Linked DNA regions of Stegostoma tigrinum. The protein of the gene in region 1 interacts with the protein of each later gene in a biochemical or structural test. Links are inferred from orthologs where the notes say so. Each region holds a gene or a part of one and is shown in the gene's direction. Other genes may lie near its edges. The genes, in order: dnmt1 and setd7.

Region 1 (10,220 bases):
ATATTTTAATGTGTTACATTTCAAGTTTAATTGTTCTTGTACAGGCAGCAACTTTGAAACTATACCAGTGTACCATTCCTCACCTAACCTGAAACAATAACTTGAAAAAAGTGAGTTTTTAATCATTATTTTTCAAAATTACTTCTCTGCTTGACCAAAACAAAGGTGCACCCAATACTTGTACACTGTCTGGCTCAATGAGCAGTCAAGAACTCTATTAAAGTTAGTACAGTTCGTAGTATAATATTTTGACATATAATCCTGGACATTCAAATGCCAGAGTTGTTGACAATGTCTTGCTTGTTGTTATTAGATCATTAACAATTGTGGGCCTCAGTTGTCCATGTGTTTGGTGTCACTGAATTGTTTTACTAGTTAAATTTTTGAAGCTGAAAGTTTGGATTGATTTTTTTCTGCCAAGTATTACCCTGAACTTTAAATGGCAACTGCTATTGTATTGCCTGGTTCGAATTCTAAGGTTAATTCCCCCCTATTTGGACCCCCTCCCCAGAAGAAACAGTGAATAGTTTACCTCTTCCTTAAGTTGGTCTGAAAGTGCCCATGTTCTGCATCAGTATAAATGGAATTATTCATTTTGGAGAGAAATTAACCTTTTTGCCCACTTTTTTTTAGAAGAGGCTATGTGCTATTGACTGTCAGGCAATTTATTTTTGAGTGAGGATGGTTAAGAAAAAGAAATTGACAGCCAGATCTTCTCCAGTAACCATTGGGGTTGTCATTATTGGCCTTCTCGTTGGAGTTAAATTGTTTCAAGATCCTGAACGGAATGAGAGAAAGCTCCAGATAACACGTGTAAAATCAAAGTTGCAATCCTTCCAAAAACTTGACAGTTTTCTTTTTAAAGCTGCTTTCAACCCTGCAGTAACTTTTTCCACTGATACCTCGGGTACGTAAATTGCCAAAAAAAACTGTTACAAACATAACAACCATTTTATAAATAAATTTTGTGTTTCCTACAAAAATGTCTTAAATTTACGGCAGTAAATGCAGGCAATGCTGATTTTTTTTTTGAATGTCTTGACATTGTGGTTGTATTTGCAGTTCTGCTGAAGACTCATTAAATGCATTGAAAAATTATACTTTTTGTTGTATTGTTTTCAGACTAACTGAAGCCACAGTCCTTTTATTAATACACAATGAGCTACAAAGGGAGTTGACATTGCATCTATGTGAAAGGCATTTAATGAAAGTTAACTAAAAACAATGCTTTGTGACCTAATGTGTTTGCGGAAAAGGGAAGCAGTCAAGAAAATAAGGTGCTCTCTTGGCTGCCTCACAATTCAAATTAAATTGACATATGAAAAGAAATTCAGGATCTTTAAAGTTCTGCATCAGCTTTGCTCCCAAGCAACATAAGAAATAGGAGCAGCAGTATGCTGTCTGGCCTGTCAAGCCTGCTCACCATAACTCTAATTCCTTTACTGTGCGAAAATCTGTCTATCATTGCCCTAAAAACATTCACCAAGATAGCCTCAACTGCTTCACTGGGCAGGAAATTCCACAGAATCACAGGGAAAGGTTTGAAATGCAGTTATTGCTGAGGCCAATTATTAGTATTCCAGGAGTTCACCAAAGAACAGCCACGACCAGACTTAATAGTGCAGGCAGCCCTGTTTGAATGATACAAAATAACTATACATGGGACATTGACAGGATGCAGAGATGGGCTGAGAGGTGGCAGATGGAGTTCAACCTGGATAAATGCGAGGTGATGCATTTTGGAAGGTCGAATTTGAAAGCTGAGTACAGGATTAAGGATAAGATTCTTGGCAGCGTGGAGGAACAGAGGGATCTTGGTGTGCAGATACATAGATCCCTTAAAATGGCCACCCAAGTGGACAGGGTTGTTAAGAAAGCATATGGTGTTTTGGCTTTCATTAACAGGGGGATTGAGTTTAAGAGTCGTGAGATCTTGTTGCAGCTCTATAAAACTTTGGTTAGACCGCACTTGGAATACTGCGTCCAGTTCTGGGCGCCCTATTATAGGAAAGATGTGGATGCTTTGGAGAGGGTTCAGAGGAGGTTTACCAGGATGCTGCCTGGACTGGAGGGCTTATCTTATGAAGAGAGGTTGACTGAGCTCGGTCTCTTTTCATTGGAGAAAAGGAGGAGGAGAGGGGACCTAATTGAGGTATACAAGATAATGAGAGGCAGAGATAGAGTTGATAGCCAGAGACTATTTCCCAGGGCAGAAATGGCTAGCACGAGGGGTCATAGTTTTAAGCTGGTTGGTGGAAAGTATCGAGGGGATGTCAGAGGCAGGTTCTTTACGCAGAGAGTTGTGAGAGCATGGAATGCGTTGCCAGCAGCAGTTGTGGAAGCAAGGTCATTGGGGTCATTTAAGAGACTGCTGGACATGTATATGGTCACAGAAATTTGAGGGTGCATACATGAGGATCAATGGTCGGCACAACATTGTGGGCTGAAGGGCCTGTTCTGTGCTGTACTGTTCTATGTTCTATGTACATATGTATATTTTTGCCATAAAAACTGAAGTGTCACCTCTGTTACTAGATACTTGACCGTAGGTCAAGATTGTGGATTCAATCAGGCTTGTATTTGGAGGGCTGGAGTTGGTACTCTTTGGCAATGTAGAGGATCAATGATCAGATTTTTTCATTTCTGATCAGTCCTTATTAGAAGAGGCACACTTGCATGTAGTAGGACAAGGAACAACAGCTGTATTGCTCTTTGCAATCATGTAGACTTATTGATTAATTACTATTTTGGATGTCATGAAGAATAACCACTTATACGGCTCCTGCAATCTGAGGTGAACGAAATAGCCTCAGGACAGAAGAAAATTTTGGTAGGGTCCACTTGGAAATGAATCTTAGAAAAATTCATAATTGAGCCAAACCAATCCATCTAAATACTAGAGAGAAACTCTGACATTCAGTTCAGACCTCTTTCTGTTTTGTATGAACTGGGCTAACTAGCAGAAAATTAAGTTTAAACCTTTTAAGTTCAGTTTTCTTTCAAATTTAATTCAAACAAGGCTGACACTTTAGCTTATTGCTAGAAATGATTCTCAAGTCTGCCTAAGTTTGGCAGCTGTTAGAATCAGATGAAATCGCTAAAATTAATAAATTTATAGACTATGCCTGTTGGTATTGAATCCATATTTAAGGCATTCTGCACTGACTAAAGTTAGAATACTGTGTGTTATTGTAATGATGTATGCCGTGTAGTTTAATGCACGTTCATAAGAATTAGAAGAGCAATGAGAGATGAAAACAGAAAATCAGACCTGACTGCATATCTTGCAGTCAGTGAGACTAATTAGAGAATTAACTAGATTTCTCACACGTTTACTGTGACCTGCTGCTAGTAAGTACAAGGATGTGAAAATTGGAAAAGCAGAGAATCATGACCTGTTCCAAAGATAGAACAACTTGCTGATGCCATTGTACTAGTAATAGATAAGGAAGCTCACACTGATATATGTAGGGTGTGTTGTGAGATTTATCTACACTGTTGATCTTGTGCTCTTGGAGTTAAACTGAAATTTCCTGTAAATAATACAAATCAATATTACTGTCAGTGTAGCTGGGCTAGTACTAACTGCTGATTCCAGCTGTCAGCATTGAGTTTGTAGGTCACTGGAGCATTTTAAATTTATGGAAAACATTGCCACCTTGTGCACTGTGTACAGACTTAAATCAGCAAATGCAAAGACAGGAGGATGCTATTTACTTCTTCAAGAATGTTCCATTTGATGTGTTTGTGACTGCTCTATGCCCTAACTCCATATTGTTGAAAATTAATTTTAACAATTACACTTAACATTAAAATCAAAGGAATATTACTCTGGTTTGTATAATTTCTCCTTTAAATTTAACTCCTGGGAGTCCATATATCATTCTGACAAACCTATGCTGCATTCTGTCCGAAACAAATATATTCATCCAAGGTGTGATGCCCTGTTTTGGTCACAGTGTGGTCTGGCTAGTATTTAGCTGTAGCAGAAATTCACATCCCTTGTATTCTAGTTGTCTAGTTATAAAGGCTGCCATTCGATTAGCCTTTCTGACTATTTTCTGCGCATGTTTGGCCAAAATTTCAACTAGTTTCCCAATATTATTTGGTTACAGAGACAAGTTCACAGAATTTACAGCCCGATCTCATTAGGGTTCTACTGCACAGACTCCTGATAGTTTAATTGCTATTGACTGTGAAGCTAATTCAGTTATTCCTTTCCAAATCTGCAGATGTGAACTTTTCGCAAATCAAAGAGTCTAAACCTCTTAGTTCCAATCAGCAGCTAACCAAACTCTACCAGTTTAGAAGTTTCACAAACTTTAACCCTTCTGCTGTGGTGACTTATTCTCTGAATCCTCAGCTGAGGAGGGAAACAAACCTTACTTCTAAACTCAACACTAGTGTTCTCTGGACTGAACTGTAAACAAAACTAACGACCTTTTATTTTACCTGATATAAACTCAACAATATAAACGTTAAGGTGTAGAGCTGGATGAACACAGCTGGCCAAGCACCATCTTTGCCTGCTGTGTTCATCCAGCACTACACCTTGTTATCTCAGATTCTCCAGCATTGGCAGTTCCTAACACCATTGGGGGTCTATCCGATCTTTAATCAAATGTTGGATTTAAGTCAGTGCTCTGGAAGGAGTCTGGCTTTGTTTTTTTTTAAGGAACACCTTCACAGAAGTCACAAATACCCACCTGCCTCAGTTTTGAAATACAAATTGTAAAAGTGAAAGTTGTAAAAATTATAGATTCAGTCCAGTGGGTCAAAGTAAGCTCTGGAAAAAAAACATCATTTTAAGCTCGGATGCTTTACAGCCTCTAGGACTTAATATTGATTTCCACAACTTCAAATGTTCGTTCTCAATTTGCCTTACAACCCCCAGCACCCCTGTCTTGTCTACTTCGCTCTCAGGGGACGGGTCCCACTTTTCAACCGTTCCCACCCCCACTAATTTACACCCATTTTAACATCCTATTTCTTTCACTACAATTAACAACCCTTTTTGTAGTGGGCCTCCACAAAAGTCTGTTCTTCTCACTCCTCCTCTGTTCTTTCAAAGGTGTAACAGAAACATTTTCCAACGCCTTTCAGTCCTGAAGAATTTACTCAGGACGCGAACCGTTAACTCTATTTCTCTTTCCACAGATGCTGCCAGATCTGCCGAGTTCCTCCAGCATTTTCTGTTTACGCTTTCGAAGGTTCACGCTGATTCATAGCTGTCACCTCTGCCCTTTTCTAACGCATTTTGTTTTTAAAACATTCATCCACTTCCTTCTAAAAGTTATCACGGATTCTGCTTCCCACCACCATTTCGGTTTATGCATACCACTTTCTAACAACTCTGGAATAAAAAAAAATGCGCCGAACCTCTTGACACTTTCATGAAACGTACGTGTTCTGTGTTCAAAGACTTTACTCCACGGCCACTGTCAAATTAGAGGCTTTGTGAATGGCCATCAGCAAACGATCTCTACAGATCACAACAGGACAGGAAGCAAACAAAAATAAAAGCTGACAATGCAACGAAAATGCATTTGGAGAAGAAACCGAGGTAAAGGGAAGTGTGACATTTGCTGCAAATTACAAGAAGCAAGTTACAATGTATTGGGGGGGCACATCAATGAGCATTAAAACGTGTGGGCTTATTCAATCACTGCTGGAGGAGTAACTGAAATGATTGTTTCAAACTTAAAATAACAGTCGAACCGATATTGCTTTACTCTTGCTGAGACGATGTGTGGTAGTGCTGTTTATAGAATATGGTAGTGTGTTACACAATGTGGAGTATTTGAGTCTAGTTACTACAGCAAGGGGAAGCCACTCCCCCTCCCTCCCTTGCTTCCCATTCATCTTTTCAGAGGTTACAGCCTGGGAGGAATCCATTTCGGAAAGAGGGGGGGACTGCATCTAGAAACACAATCTGCCGCAAGTTGCCTCTTTTATAAAGATCACTGCGTTAACCACAATCAGACAGATATTTTACTGTTAATAAATCACAAGTGATGAAAAATTTTTCTCACAGGATAAGCGGTGGATGGGATAAAAACATTCATTAAAAATACAACAAGCCCCCGTTCTTCTTTTTCTGGGATTCCAATGATGAATGACCCGGACCGTGAGCAGCAACCATAACATGGAGGATAAGGGGTGGGGGGGAACCATCATGTGTTTTAGAAAGAAACGTCCTAATTCCTTCATTGTTGAAGGATAGAAAGCAACCAGCTGAATTAGTCAAATTCTCTGTAGACAAACAACGATGGAATATTGATAATCTGGCTATGATCTGATTGTTTAATGTGATAATTTATTATTTATCCCTCCCTCTCGCTTATCAGCGACTGGACCAGTCCGGATCGCGCGCGAAAATCCCCGCCCGCCCGCCCGCCCGCTCGCTCGCGCCGCTGTTTTCCGCCCGGAGCCGGGAACCGCCGCCGCCCCCTTTCCCCCCAGTCGGCCCGCTCCGCCCGCGATGCCAGCCCGGATCAGCGGTAGTGCCGCCGCATCCTCCCTGCCCGAGGACATCAGGAAGCGGTGAGTGAATGAATTCCCCTCAGGCGGCGCTGGGGCCTGCGGCCTCTCTCCATCGGCGGGGATTCACAGCCGCGGCCCGGTTACCGTCAATGCCTCCCCCCCCTCCTCCCGTCAATATGGTGTGCATGTGGCGGGGGAAGCTGGTGATGAATCCCAATCTCCGGAGACTCGGTGATGGCGATCCGAGGATTTGGCGCCAAACTGCATTTATCACTCCACCCCCCGAAATTATACCCACCCTATCATTATCCCTCCTCTCCATCAACCCCCACTCTCCCCATCAATACTCCTCCTCTCCATCAACCCCTACTCCCCCCATCATTATCCCTCCTCTCCGTCAACCCCTACTCCCCCCATCATTATCCCTCCTCTCCATCAACCCTCACTCCCCCCATCATTATCCCTCCTCTCCGTCAACCCCCACTCTCCTCATCAATACTCCTCCTCTCCATCAACCCCTACTCCCCCCATCATTATCCCTCCTCTCCATCAACCCCCACTCTCCCCATCAATACTCCTCCTCTCCATCAACCCCTACTCCCCCCATCATTATCCCTCCTCTCCGTCAACCCCCACTCCCCCCCATCATTATCCCTCCTCTCCACCAACCCTCACTCCCCCCATCGTTACCCCTTCTCTCCACCATCAACACCCCCCATCATTACCCCTTCTCTCCACCGTTGACCCCCTCCCCATATCATTACCCTCCCCTCCACCATTGATTCCCCCCTCCTCTCCACCATCAACCACCCCATTGTCTTCTCCCCTGTCGCCAAGCGCCTCTTTCCCCCCCCCATCGCCAAGCGCCTCTTCCCCCCCATCGCCAAGCGCCTCTTCCCCCCCATCGCCAAGCGCCTCTTCCCCCCCATCGCCAAGCGCCTCTTTCCCCCCCCCATCGCCAAGCGCCTCTTCCCCCCCCATCGCCAAGCGCCTCTTCCCCCCCCATCGCCAAGCGCCTCTTCCCCCCCATCGCCAAGCGCCTCTTCCCCCCATCGCCAAGCGCCTCTTCCCCCCCCATCGCCAAGCGCCTCTTTCCCCCCCCATCGCCAAGCGCCTCTTTCCCCCCCCATCGCCAAGCGCCTCTTTCCCCCCCCATCGCCAAGCGCCTCTTTCCCCCCCATCGCCAAGCCCCTCTTTCCCCCCCATCGCCAAGCCCCTCTTTCCCCCCCATCGCCAAGCCCCTCTTTCCCCCCCATCGCCAAGCCCCTCTTTCCCCCCCATCGCCAAGCCCCTCTTCCCCCCCCCATCGCCAAGCCCCTCTTCCCCCCCAACATCGCCAAGCCCCTCTTCCCCCCCCATCGCCAAGCCCCTCTTCCCCCCCATCGCCAAGCCCCTCTTCCCCCCCATCGCCAAGCCCCTCTTCCCCCCCCCCATCGCCAAGCCCCTCTTCCCCCCCCCATCGCCAAGCCCCTCTTCCCCCCCCATCGCCAAGCCCCTCTTCCCCCCCCATCGCCAAGCCCCTCTTCCCCCCCCCGTCGCCAAGCCCCTCTTCCCCCCCCCCGTCGCCAAGCCCCTCTTTCACCCCGTTGCCAAGGCCCTCTTCCCCCACCGTCGTCGTCGACCCCGTCTTCTCCCCCCCCGTCGTCGTTGACCCCGTCTTCCCCCCTCGTCGTCGTCGACCACCCCGTCTTCCCCCCCCCATCGTCGTCGACCCCGTCTTCTCCCCCGTCGTCGTCGTCGACCCCGTCTTCTTCTCCCCCCCCGTCGTCGTCGACCCCGTCTTCTCCCCCCCCGTCGTCGTCGACCCCGTCTTCTCCCCCCCCGTCGTCGTCGACCCCGTCTTCTCCCCCCCCGTCGTCGTCGACCCCGTCTTCTCCCCCCCCGTCGTCGTCGACCCCGTCTTCTCCCCCCCCGTCGTCGTCGACCCCGTCTTCTCCCCCCCCGTCGTCGTCGACCCCGTCTTCTCCCCCCCCGTCGTCGTCGACCCCGTCTTCTCCCCCCCCGTCGTCGTCGACCCCGTCTTCTCCCCCCCCGTCGTCGTCGACCCCGTCTTCTCCCCCCCCGTCGTCGTCGACCCCGTCTTCTCCCCCCCCGTCGTCGTCGACCCCGTCTTCTCCCCCCCCGTCGTCGTCGACCCCGTCTTCTCCCCCCCCGTCGTCGTCGACCCCGTCTTCTCCCCCCCCGTCGTCGTCGACCCCGTCTTCTCCCCCCCCCGTCGTCGTCGACCCCGTCTCTCCCCCCCCCCGTCGTCGTCGACCCCGTCTCCCCCCCCCGTCGTCGTCGACCCCGTCTCCCCCCCCCCGTCGTCGTCGACCCCGTCTCCCCCCCCCGTCGTCGTCGACCCCGTCTCCCCCCCCCCCCGTCGTCGTCGACCCCGTCTCCCCCCCCCCGTCGTCGTCGACCCCGTCTCCCCCCCCCGTCGTCGTCGACCCCGTCTCCCCCCCCGTCGTCGTCGACCCCGTCTCCCCCCCCCCCCGTCGTCGTCGACCCCGTCTCCCCCCCCCCGTCGTCGTCGACCCCGTCTCCCCCCCCCCGTCGTCGTCGACCCCGTCTCCCCCCCCCCGTCGTCGTCGACCCCGTCTCCCCCCCCCCGTCGTCGTCGACCCCGTCTCCCCCCCCCCCGTCGTCGTCGACCCCGTCTCTCCCCCCCCCCCCCGTCGTCGTCGACCCCGTCTCTCCCCCCCCCCGTCGACGTCGACCCCATCTCCCCCCCCGCCGTCGTCGTCGACCCCGTCTCCCCCCCCGTCGTCGTCGTCGTCGACCCCGTCTCCCCCCCCCCGTCGTCGTCGTCGTCGACCCCGTCTCCCCCCCCCGTCGTCGTCGTCGTCGACCCCGTCTCCCCCCCCGTCGTCGTCGTCGACCCCGTCTCCCCCCCCGTCGTCGTCGTCGACCCCGTCTCCCCCCCCCGTCGTCGTCGTCGACCCCGTCTCCCCCCCCGTCGTCGTCGTCGACCCCGTCTCCCCCCCCGTCGTCGTCGTCGACCCCGTCTCCCCCCCCCGTCGTCGTCGTCGACCCCGTCTCCCCCCCCGTCGTCGTCGTCGACCCCGTCTCCCCCCCCCGTCGTCGTCGTCGACCCCGTCTCCCCCCCCCCCGTCGTCGTCGTCGACCCCGTCTCCCCCCCCCCCCCGTCGTCGTCGTCGACCCCGTCTCCCCCCCCCCCCGTCGTCGTCGTCGACCCCGTCTCCCCCCCCCCCGTCGTCGTCGTCGACCCCGTCTCCCCCCCCCCCCGTCGTCGTCGTCGACCCCGTCTCCCCCCCCCCCCCGTCGTCGTCGTCGACCCCGTCTCCCCCCCCCCCGTCGTCGTCGTCGACCCCGTCTCCCCCCCCCATCGTCGTCGACCCCGTCTCTCCCCCCTCCCCGTCGTCGTCGACCCCGTCTCTCCCCCCCCCCGTCGTCGTCGTCGACCCCGTCTCTCTCCCCCCCCCCGTCGTCGTCGTCGACCCCGTCTCTCCCCCCCCCCCGTCGTCGTCGTCGACCCCGTCTCTCTCCCCCCCCCCCGTTGTCGTCGTCGACCCCGTCTCTCCCCCCCCCCCCCCCCCCCCGTCGTCGTTGTACATGGGTGTGTGGATTGATACAGGCCAGAATTGAAGGCATACATCGAACATAGAACACTACAGCTCAGTACAGGACCTTCGGCCCTCGATGTTGCGCCGACCTGTGAAACCAATGTGAAGCCCATCTAACCTACACTATTCCATTATCACCCATATGTTTATCCAGTGACCATTTAAATGCCC
Region 2 (9,497 bases), on another chromosome or scaffold:
ATACAGGAGAATGAGAGGAAGCAGGACTGCGGAGAATAGGGGTAATCCATGGGATAGATAACGGGTGATACAAGATAAATGGTAGAAAGTAAATACACAGAAGAAAGTGGCAAAGGATTAGAGATGATCACAGTAGAGAAGATAATGGAAAGGAAAAGGTGTCAAGGGAGTGGAATGTAATGAGAGTTACAGGGATAGATGTTTTTTCATGGAAATTACTGAAGCCAAATCTTGGATTTTGCTTCACTCATGGAACACAGGCACCACTGATTGGACCTAGTAGCCTTTGAGAAGGTGGTGGTGAGCTGCTATCATGATCCGCTGTTGTAGGTAGACCCACAATGCCTTCAGGGAGGGAATTCCAGGCGTTTGACCCAGCAACAGTGAAGGAATGATGATATATATTCCAGGTCAGGATGGTAAGGGTCTTAGAGGAGAATTTGCAGGTGGTGGTACATCATTACCTTTATTTTATCATTTACATGGAATAGGTTTAGAAAACATTCTCAAAATGCTTTAATTTTTAACTATGCAGTCTTTACCTGCTGCCAGGAGTGTGAAGTTGGAATGTTACCCCTATAAAAAAGCTTTCTGAGACCACCTCTAAAGTTTCAATTTCTAAACGGCCAACAATAGCTGAGATATGGATACTAGGATCCCCAGTATGTTTTGAATTAACAGACCTTATCTGGGCCAGCAGTAGAGGCATAACAACTGAATACTGTATTTCGGCTGATGAGGGGCAAAGTAGGGGAGGTGATGGCCCAGTGGTATTGTTGTTAAACTATTAATCCAGAGACTCAACTAATATCCTGGGGACCTGGGTTCAAATCCCACCACGTCAGATGGTGAAGTTTGAATTCAATGAAATAGAAAATCTGGAATGAAGAGTCTAACAATGACTGTGAAGCCATTATGATTTATAAAAAAGAAATCAGCCAGTGTTCTTAATGGAAAGCGGACAAATGTGGGTGTCAGCTCAAAGGTGCTAGTAGTTTAACAGCATGAGGCCACATATGTAAACAGTCTGTAATTTATTGAAAAGTAATTGGCAATATTAGGAATGAGACAGGTCGGCATTGGGAGCAGTTCTAAAACACAGTATGGCGGAATATAACATACACCAGAAATGTTGGGATGGATGGACTGCAGGATGTATTTGGAAATGCAGTTGGTTGTCCATAAAAACATAAGACGTAGGAGCAGAAGTAGGCCTTTCAGCTTAACAGGCATTGTTCACTCTTCCATGAGATCACGGATGATCTGATAAACCTCAACTCACATTGCAAGGAATTCTTGATTTCTTTAACTGATTAAAATTCTCTCCATCTCAGCTTGAATATAGGAATGGGCTAGGCCATTCAGCCCTTCAAATCTGTTCCACCATTCAATGAGATCATAGCTCTTCTGTGGCTTAACTCCATATGGACCAAAGGCAGGTATATCCCTTAGTACCTTCACTTAAGAAAAATTGATCCATCTCAAATTTAAAATTAACAACTAATCCATCATCCACTGCCATTTGTGGAGGAGAGTTCCAAACCTCTACCACCCCTTCATGTATAGAAGTACTTCCTAACATACCTCCTGAATGGTCTGGCCCTAATTCTTACACTATGCCCCATGGTTCTAGAATCATCCACAGTGAAAATAGTTTATCTTTATCTACTGTCTTTTCCTATCAATATCTTGAAGCCTTCAATCAGACCACCCCTTAATCTTCTAAATTCTTGAGCAGATAGGCCTAATTTGTGTAATCTTTCCTTATTATTTGAACGCTGAAGTTGAGGTATGATTCTTGTAAACCACATTATACTCCCTCCAAGGCCAATATATTCTTCCTAAGGTGTGGTGCTCAAACCTACTCATAGTATTTCAAGTGGGATTTTATATAACTGCGGCATCGCTTCTCCAAATATGAACTCCAGTCTACTAGAAAGGCCATAATTCAATTAACTTCCTTTATTATGTTCTACACTTTTTTCTGAAATTTTAAAGATAAATGCACATGAACCCCCAAGTGTCTTTGGACATTCATTTGATACCATCTAGAATGTACCCTGATCTATTCTTCGTCAGTCCAAAATGGTTAACTTCACACTTCTTAACTTGAACTCCATCTGCTAGAATTTTATCCACTCATTTAGTCTATTAATATCCATTTGTAATTTTATGTGATATATTATATATATATATATATATATCCACACACACACACACACACACACACACACACACACACACACACACACACACACACACACACACACACACACATATATACTGTCTACAGTGTTACCTGATTTTGATCCAGCCTCAATAGTTTCTGTAGTAAAGAATTATAGAGTCATAAGAGTTGTACAACACAAAAGCAAACCCTTCAGTCCAACTCGTACATCCTAAATTAATCTAGTTCCATTTTCCAGCATTTGGCCAATAACCCTCTTAAATCCTTTCTAGTCATGGACCCATCCAGATACCTTTTAAATGTTGTAATTGTACCAGCCCTCCACCACTTCCTCTGGAAGCTCGTACCATACACTCATCACTTTCTATGTGGCCCCTTTTAAATCTTTCCCCTCTCACCTTAAACCTATGTCCTCCAGTTTTCGGCTCCCAAACCCTGGGAAAAAAGACATTGGCTGTTCACTGCACTCTCATATTTTATAAACCTCTATAAAGTTACCCCTTAGCCTCTGATGTTCAGGGGAAAATAGCCCCAGGTTATTCAGCCTCTCCTTGTAGCTCAAACTCTCCAAACGTGGCAACACCCTTGTAAATCTTTTGTGAACCAATTCCACAGGTTCGCCACTGTCTGGGAGAAAAAAAAATTCTCCTCGTCATTATCTTAAATGGGTGCCCTCTGGTCCTAAACTCTTCCACAAAGTGGAAACACCCTGTCTGCATCTACCCTTTCAATAAAGTTGTCTCTCATTCTTCTTAACGCAAATGAGTACAGGCCCAGCCTACTTAGCTTTTCCTCTTAGTCAATCCATTCCTGGTATCAACTTAGTGAATGTATATTAATAACTCAGGAAGAAGGTGAATATGTTGTAACCAATATGCACCTGAATTAAAATCGGGGAGAAAACAAATTGCATGAGGGGTACAAACAATTCACAGATGTTGATAGGTTAAGTGGGCAAAACATTGATAAGTGGAGTATAATATGGGAAAATGTGAAGTTGTTCATTTAGGATAGGAGAATAAAAGAACAGGGTATTATTTAAATAGAGAAAAACTGCAGAAAGCTACAACACAAAGGGACTTGTGGGTATTGCTGCACAAAACACTGCAAGTTAATAACAGGTGCAGCAGAAAATCAAGAAGGTTAATGGAATGTTGGTCTTAATTCAAGGGTTTGGAGAATAAGAATAAGAGATGCTGATTGTTCTGAGCGAAGGCTAAGCACACTGGGACTGATCAGAACTTAGAAGAATGAGAGGTGATTTCATTGAAACATGTGGGATTGTCAAGGAACTTGACAGGATAGATGTTGAGAGGATGTATTAGCTCATGGGAAAGTCTAGACCGAAGGGCATCATCTCAGAATAAACACGCAACCGTTTAATAAAACATACAAAGGCACATAAATCCCTGGGACCTGATCAAATGTATCCCAGTACATTGTGGGAAACTAGGGAAGAAATTGTTGAATCCTTAGTGGCGATATTTGTATTATCAACAGCCATGGGTGAAGTGCCAGAAGACTGGAGGGCGGCTAATGTTGTGCTATTGTTTAAGAAAGGCTGCAAAGAAAGGCCAGGGAGGTACAGACAGTGAGCTTGACCTCAATGGTGGATTTGACATCAATGGTTCTTGGAGGGCATTCTGAGAAACAGGACCTGCGTGTATTTGGAAAGGCAAGGACTGATAATCAGCATGGCTTTGTGAGTGGGAAATCATGTCTCACAAACTTGATTGAGTTTTTTGAAGAGGTGATCAAAAAGGTAGAAGAAGGCAGAGTGGTAGATGTGGCCTACATGGACTTTAGTGAAACCTTTGACAAAGTTCCTCATGGTAGACTAGTTAGTAAAGTTAGATCGCATGGCATCCAGGGAGAGCTAGCTAATTGGATACAAAATTGGCTTAACATAGAAGACAGAGCATGGTAAGATCAATGCTGGGACCACTATTGTTCGTCAGTTCTATTTAATGATTTGGATGAGAATACAGGAGGCATGTTTAATAGGTTTATGGATGACACCAGAATTGGTGGTATAGTGGACAGTGAGGAAGGTTATCTAACAGTACAGAAAGATTTGATCAACTTGTCCAGAGGGCCAAGGAATGAAGTTTAATTCAGATAAATGTGAGGTATTGAGTTTTAGTAAGACAAACCAAGGCAGGACTTGTACAGTTAATGATAGCAATCGCAGGAGTGTTGTTGAACAAGGAGACCTAGGGATGCAGGTACATAGTTCCTTCAAAATGTCATTGCAGGTAGACAGGATGGTAAAGAAGGTGCTTGGCAAACTTGCCTTCATCAATTGAAGCATTGAATGCAGGAGTTGTAATTTCATGTTACGGATATACAAGACACTGGTAAGGCCACATTTGGGGTACTGAGTACAATTCTGGTTACCCTGCTGTACGAAGGATGTTATTAAACTAGAAAGGGTGGAAAAAAGATTTACAACCAAGAGTTGAGAGTTTGAGATATGAGGAGAGGCTGGTTAAGCTGTGAGTTTTTGCCCTGGAGCATAGGAGGCTGAGGGCTGACCTTGTAGAAGTTCATAAAATCGTGAGGGGCATAGATAAAATGATTAGTCAACGTCTTTTCCAGGGTTGGGGAGTCCAAAACCAGAGGACATAGATTTAAAGGAGAGGGGAAAGATTTAAAAGGGAACAGGGGGTATATATGGAACAAGTTATCAGAGAAAGTGGTAGAGGTGAGTACATTACAACATTTAAATAGAATCGGTGGAGTATTTGGATAGTGTTATGGCCAAATGCAGGCCAGTGGGACTAGTTCAGTTTAGATAACCTGGTCCGTATGGACGAGTTGGCCCGCAGGTTCTGTTTCTGTGCTGTTTGACTTTAAGTATCTAGGTGGATTATTTTCTTCAATCAGAGGGTTGAGCATCTTTGTAATTCCTTGCCACAGACAGCTGTGGGGGCAGAGTCCTTGTATTTGGTTAAGGTTGAGATAGATGGATCAGATGGGGAATCTAGGGTTATGGGGAAAGGGCAGGAAATGGGTCATGAGGAATGTGAGACTGTTGAATTGCTCAGCCGGCCTACTCCTGTTCGTAATTCTCCTGGTCTTAACCTTCACTGGGCTGCCTCCAACGCCAGTACATCTTTCCTGACATTTGATGGTCTATGCCTCTTGATGCCTGTGTCTCTCCAATATGCACGAGTTGGTGTCAGGGGGTAGAAATGTGCGTGGTGAGATGATGGAAATGGTTCTTCGTTTTATTACAGCGTGTGATTATATTCTGCGAGGAGGGAGAGAGATTGAAATTGTCAATCAAAGCCTTTGGGTGGGAGGGGTGCGAGAGAGTGCGTCTGGCAGTGAATGGAGCGACCGCTAATGGTGGGAAGGGTTTTGGGAGGTGAGGTAGTGCTGAGACTGTCGATCAATGCAGCAGCTGGGGGAAGAGGGATGATGTCAGTGTCTGATTCCGGTTTACGCAGCGGTAACTTGCAGTCTAAGCAAAGACAGAGTTAGAGCTGGTCTCCCTAGTGCGAAAAGAAGCCTCAGCCACTGAGAGCAGCGGTGTTATGGACAGTGACGACGATAATGTGGAGGAGACGGTAGAAGGTGAGGGGGGTGAGGGGGTGAGGGGGGTGTTCCAGAGAAAGGGTTTGATGCCTCATCTCCCTAAAACAAGCCGGGCAGCAGGGAGGGACAGTGCAGCGCGGATATATTCGGCCCAAAACCGCCCGTCTCGAGAGAGGTGGCTTTTATTTAGTGCGTTTAACCCATGCGTCGAAAAATCAGTCAGTGAATGTACCTTTTTAAGAAAAATGTTTTGTAAAAGTTTTTTTGCTCTGAGGCTTTGTTGACGAAATGCAAATTTAATTCGTCAAGATAAAGCCCAGTGTTAGTTTTCTTTGTTGAAGTACGTCGAAATTCTATTCTGACTTACCGGGGAATGGAATGGATTTTTTTTATAAACAAAAAGTGAATCGTTTTAAAAGACAATGTGCTACTTTAGCGGTTATGTAACGTGGATTATTGTGATGCAGGCAGTCCCTCAGAGGAGAACAATGAAAGCACCACTACTGTGGTGGTAGACTGAGGCTGTGTGTTTATAATTTGTTGCATATTTACAATCTGAAACAGAGCCTGGAAACTTTTCTCTCCCTTTCTCCATCTCCCCCCCCCCCCCCCCCCGTACCTTTTATAAACAATGTAATCTTTACTTCACGGTGAAGTCTTCGAGGGGAGGTCATTGTCGATGGTAACAATTTGCTGTACGATTTTATTTTCTGTCTAACAATGATTATTTAAGAATTGAGAAATAAAGCTTTCCCCCTCCCCACCCCACCCCACTGTTAATGCCACACGCAACAGTGAGGAAATGAAAAAGCCGTTTCTCCCCCATCGCGACATTTCAGCTGTTGTGTTCACTCATAATAAATAACCCAGTCGGGGGTTGGGGGGAAAAAAGTCACCTCCAAACTGGGTTTCGCACAGTCCTTAAGTCGAAGCCTCCCTTTTGACTTTGTGAACAGAATTCCTGCTTGATACTTAGTCAGCAGATGTGTGTCATATATTGCAGTAATTTGCATTGTTTTTTTCTTTTGGATTTAAGATGATGCATTTTACGTGTGTGTGTGCTGAGGTTCAGTAAGTTTAAAGTGTTCCTATTGTAGGTCCCCTGGATGAAGATAACGAGCCACATGGGTTCTGTAAAGTTACCTATTCTTCAGGTGACAGATTTGAAGGGCATTTTGTGCATGGTGAGAAGAATGGTCACGGGAAGTTCTATTTTTTTGATGGCAGGTAAAAAAAATCAAAGTCCATCAATTTGAAGCTTTATTACTTGTTTAGATATATTTGCTCTGTCAGAGGGGTTTTTCTCTTGATCTGAGTTAGGATTTCTTTGACTGTAATTTGGAATGTGTATAATGGTACCTTTTACTGGGAAAAAGGGTGGCCTTGTTCAACCATTTGCTGTTGCACTTAGTCTATAAATCAGAAGTTTATTGACACTATCAATGCTGGTGATTCAAATTTCATATGGACGTTTCATTTCTATTGATTTTATAAAGTATATTTGGCAGTGTGTGCTTGTTGCAGTTTGTTTCTACAAACTGCTCCTTTGCAACATTACCCAGATTGAAAATGATGTATATTATGCTTTGCTCACTTTTTGATGGCATCATGAGTGTAGTTTGTAACAACTAAATTACAAATTTTCAGTTGTGCAGGGAGATTTCCTGTTTTCCCTTTATTCTCTTTAGGTTTTCATAATTATCTTTTTAAGAGTCGGGAGGAAATGGAGAGGGATGGATGTTTTTGTCAGTGATGACAGTACTGCCTTGCCAGCAGAAAGTTTGTTTGTATCATGAAGACGCTATCCTCATACATAAATGCGTATGCAGCTGAATTGTGAAATAATTGTGGGTACATTACAAACAATGCATTTTGTCTCGGTAGAACAGCAAGGACAAGAATTATAGAATGATGCCAGCTCAGTAACTATTTATGGAACTGTTATACGGGGAGGAAAGTAAATCTTTACAGTTGCTGTGTAAGGGAGAAAAATAATGACCTAAGTAACTAAAATTTAAGCATACAAAATTTTATTTCAACAAATAAATTCAGTTCAAAGATTCATTAAGAAATTGTGGTCTTTTGAAATCACATTTAATATCTTTGTCAATATATATTTATTAATTTGATGAAAACATCACATTTTGCTATGATTTTTGATTTGTAATTTTTCCATATAAAAATAGTTCCTATTCATTGTGTAAAATGAGATATAACTAGGGGATGTGTATTCTGGTGTTCACTTGCTTGCAGGTCATTCCAAATGGTTTCTCCATCTGAAAACTTTTTGTCAAGAACCGAACATTCTATGTTTCCAAGGTTTTTTTTTTGAAAGAAAATCAAAGAATACCAGACCCTAGTAACATTATTAAATATTTCATTTAAGCTTTTATAACTTTAGCCTTTTCTGAAAGCACAACTTGTAACTGGGGTCGGTATATTTCGTGGATAATGGGAACGGCAGATGCTGGAGAATCCAAGATAACAAAGTGTGGAGCTGGATGAACACAGCAGGCCAAGCAGCATCTCAGGAGCACAAAAGCTGACATTTCGGGCCTAGACCCTTCATCAGAAAGGGGGGATGGGGAGAAGGATCCAAAATAAATAGGGAGAGGCGGACCGAAGATGGACAGAGGAGAAGATAGATGGAGAGGAGACAGACAAGTTAAAGGGGCGGGGAAGGAACCTGTAGAGGTCAGCATAGGTGGAGAGGTGGGGAGGACGGACAGAGGACTGACCTATCCCCTCCCCACCCACACTCTATTTCGTGATGCGGTTTAAGCATTTGAAGTGTCTGATTTCCTAGCTGCATTGATTTGAGTATTTTTCTTTAGCTGCAAGCTTCCTTTGATCATTGGAAAAAAGGACACATTTCCAAAGTTTTATTGAGGTAATCAAATGAGTATGAGGTATGGTTATGAGACAAGGGAAAATATATATTATGCTAATTGTACTCTTGGTTCTGTGTTCCAAAAAACACAATAACCATAAAATGCTGAAAATACATCTCAACACTAATGTCAATTATCTCATCTGAGATGTTATATTTTAAACAATGTCAGAACTAAGCAATTACACCTGTGAAACTGATTCTAAATTCTAACAGATAAATGAGGAGAAATAGACATGTAGTTGAGAAAGTGAGACAGGCAAAATGAAGTAATTACAAGGAAAGATGGGCAGTTCATTCTAATTTTATTTACTCACATTTAAAAAGAAAATGAGCAAACAAACCTTCTTCCCTTCCTCCTTTTTAAAGAAAGGAGGAAGAATAAAGGGAACTACTTGCCACCTGCTTTTGGGACAGGACCATTGAAGTAATTAATCTAGTGCAGTCATAGTTGTCAGTCTTTTCACATCTTACTGTTCAGTGTCGGTTGGAAGCAAAATAATGTATGGTGTAGGGTTTCCAACTGATTCAACTGCATCAGTTTCCCTTGTGTTATTAATAGCTCCTAGTGTTCCAGTTGGAATTGGAATTTGGGAACAAGTGTTGTCATGTTTGTGGCAAAGAAGCATATATCTGCAATCAGTCTGATAACTGGGGACATGGGTTTTCAGATGCACTATTTCTAGAATATTCCATTCCAAGTTAGAGAGAGTGGCGTGATAACTTTTTTTTTTCCTCCAGATATTTCATTTCTTTCTTCAGATGTAAGACAGAAGCAAATGTACTAGTTAACTTGCAGCATTATTATGTAGGGAAGTACTTGTGGTGTGATCTTGGATCAATCTCTTGGTATTGATACTTTTAAAATATATTTGTGTA

Evidence for each region.
Region 2: of the proteins of dnmt1 (region 1) and setd7, one has a biochemical effect on the other in vitro, tested with the Homo sapiens proteins (2 studies listed by BioGRID and IntAct, with this or other methods). The link is inferred for Stegostoma tigrinum from reciprocal best matches to the Homo sapiens genes DNMT1 and SETD7.

What each region holds. Positions count from the first base shown.
Region 1 is NC_081388.1:22,288,798-22,299,017, forward strand, and holds the start of dnmt1 (DNA (cytosine-5)-methyltransferase 1), read left to right. Parts: upstream 1-6,396; 5' UTR 6,397-6,481; coding exon 6,482-6,543; intron 6,544-10,220. UniProt on the Homo sapiens protein: Methylates CpG residues. Preferentially methylates hemimethylated DNA. Associates with DNA replication sites in S phase maintaining the methylation pattern in the newly synthesized strand, that is essential for epigenetic inheritance.
Region 2 is NC_081354.1:26,213,519-26,223,015, reverse strand, and holds the start of setd7 (histone-lysine N-methyltransferase SETD7), read left to right. Parts: upstream 1-5,580; 5' UTR 5,581-5,727; coding exon 5,728-5,767; intron 5,768-6,825; coding exon 6,826-6,955; intron 6,956-9,497. UniProt on the Homo sapiens protein: Histone methyltransferase that specifically monomethylates 'Lys-4' of histone H3. H3 'Lys-4' methylation represents a specific tag for epigenetic transcriptional activation.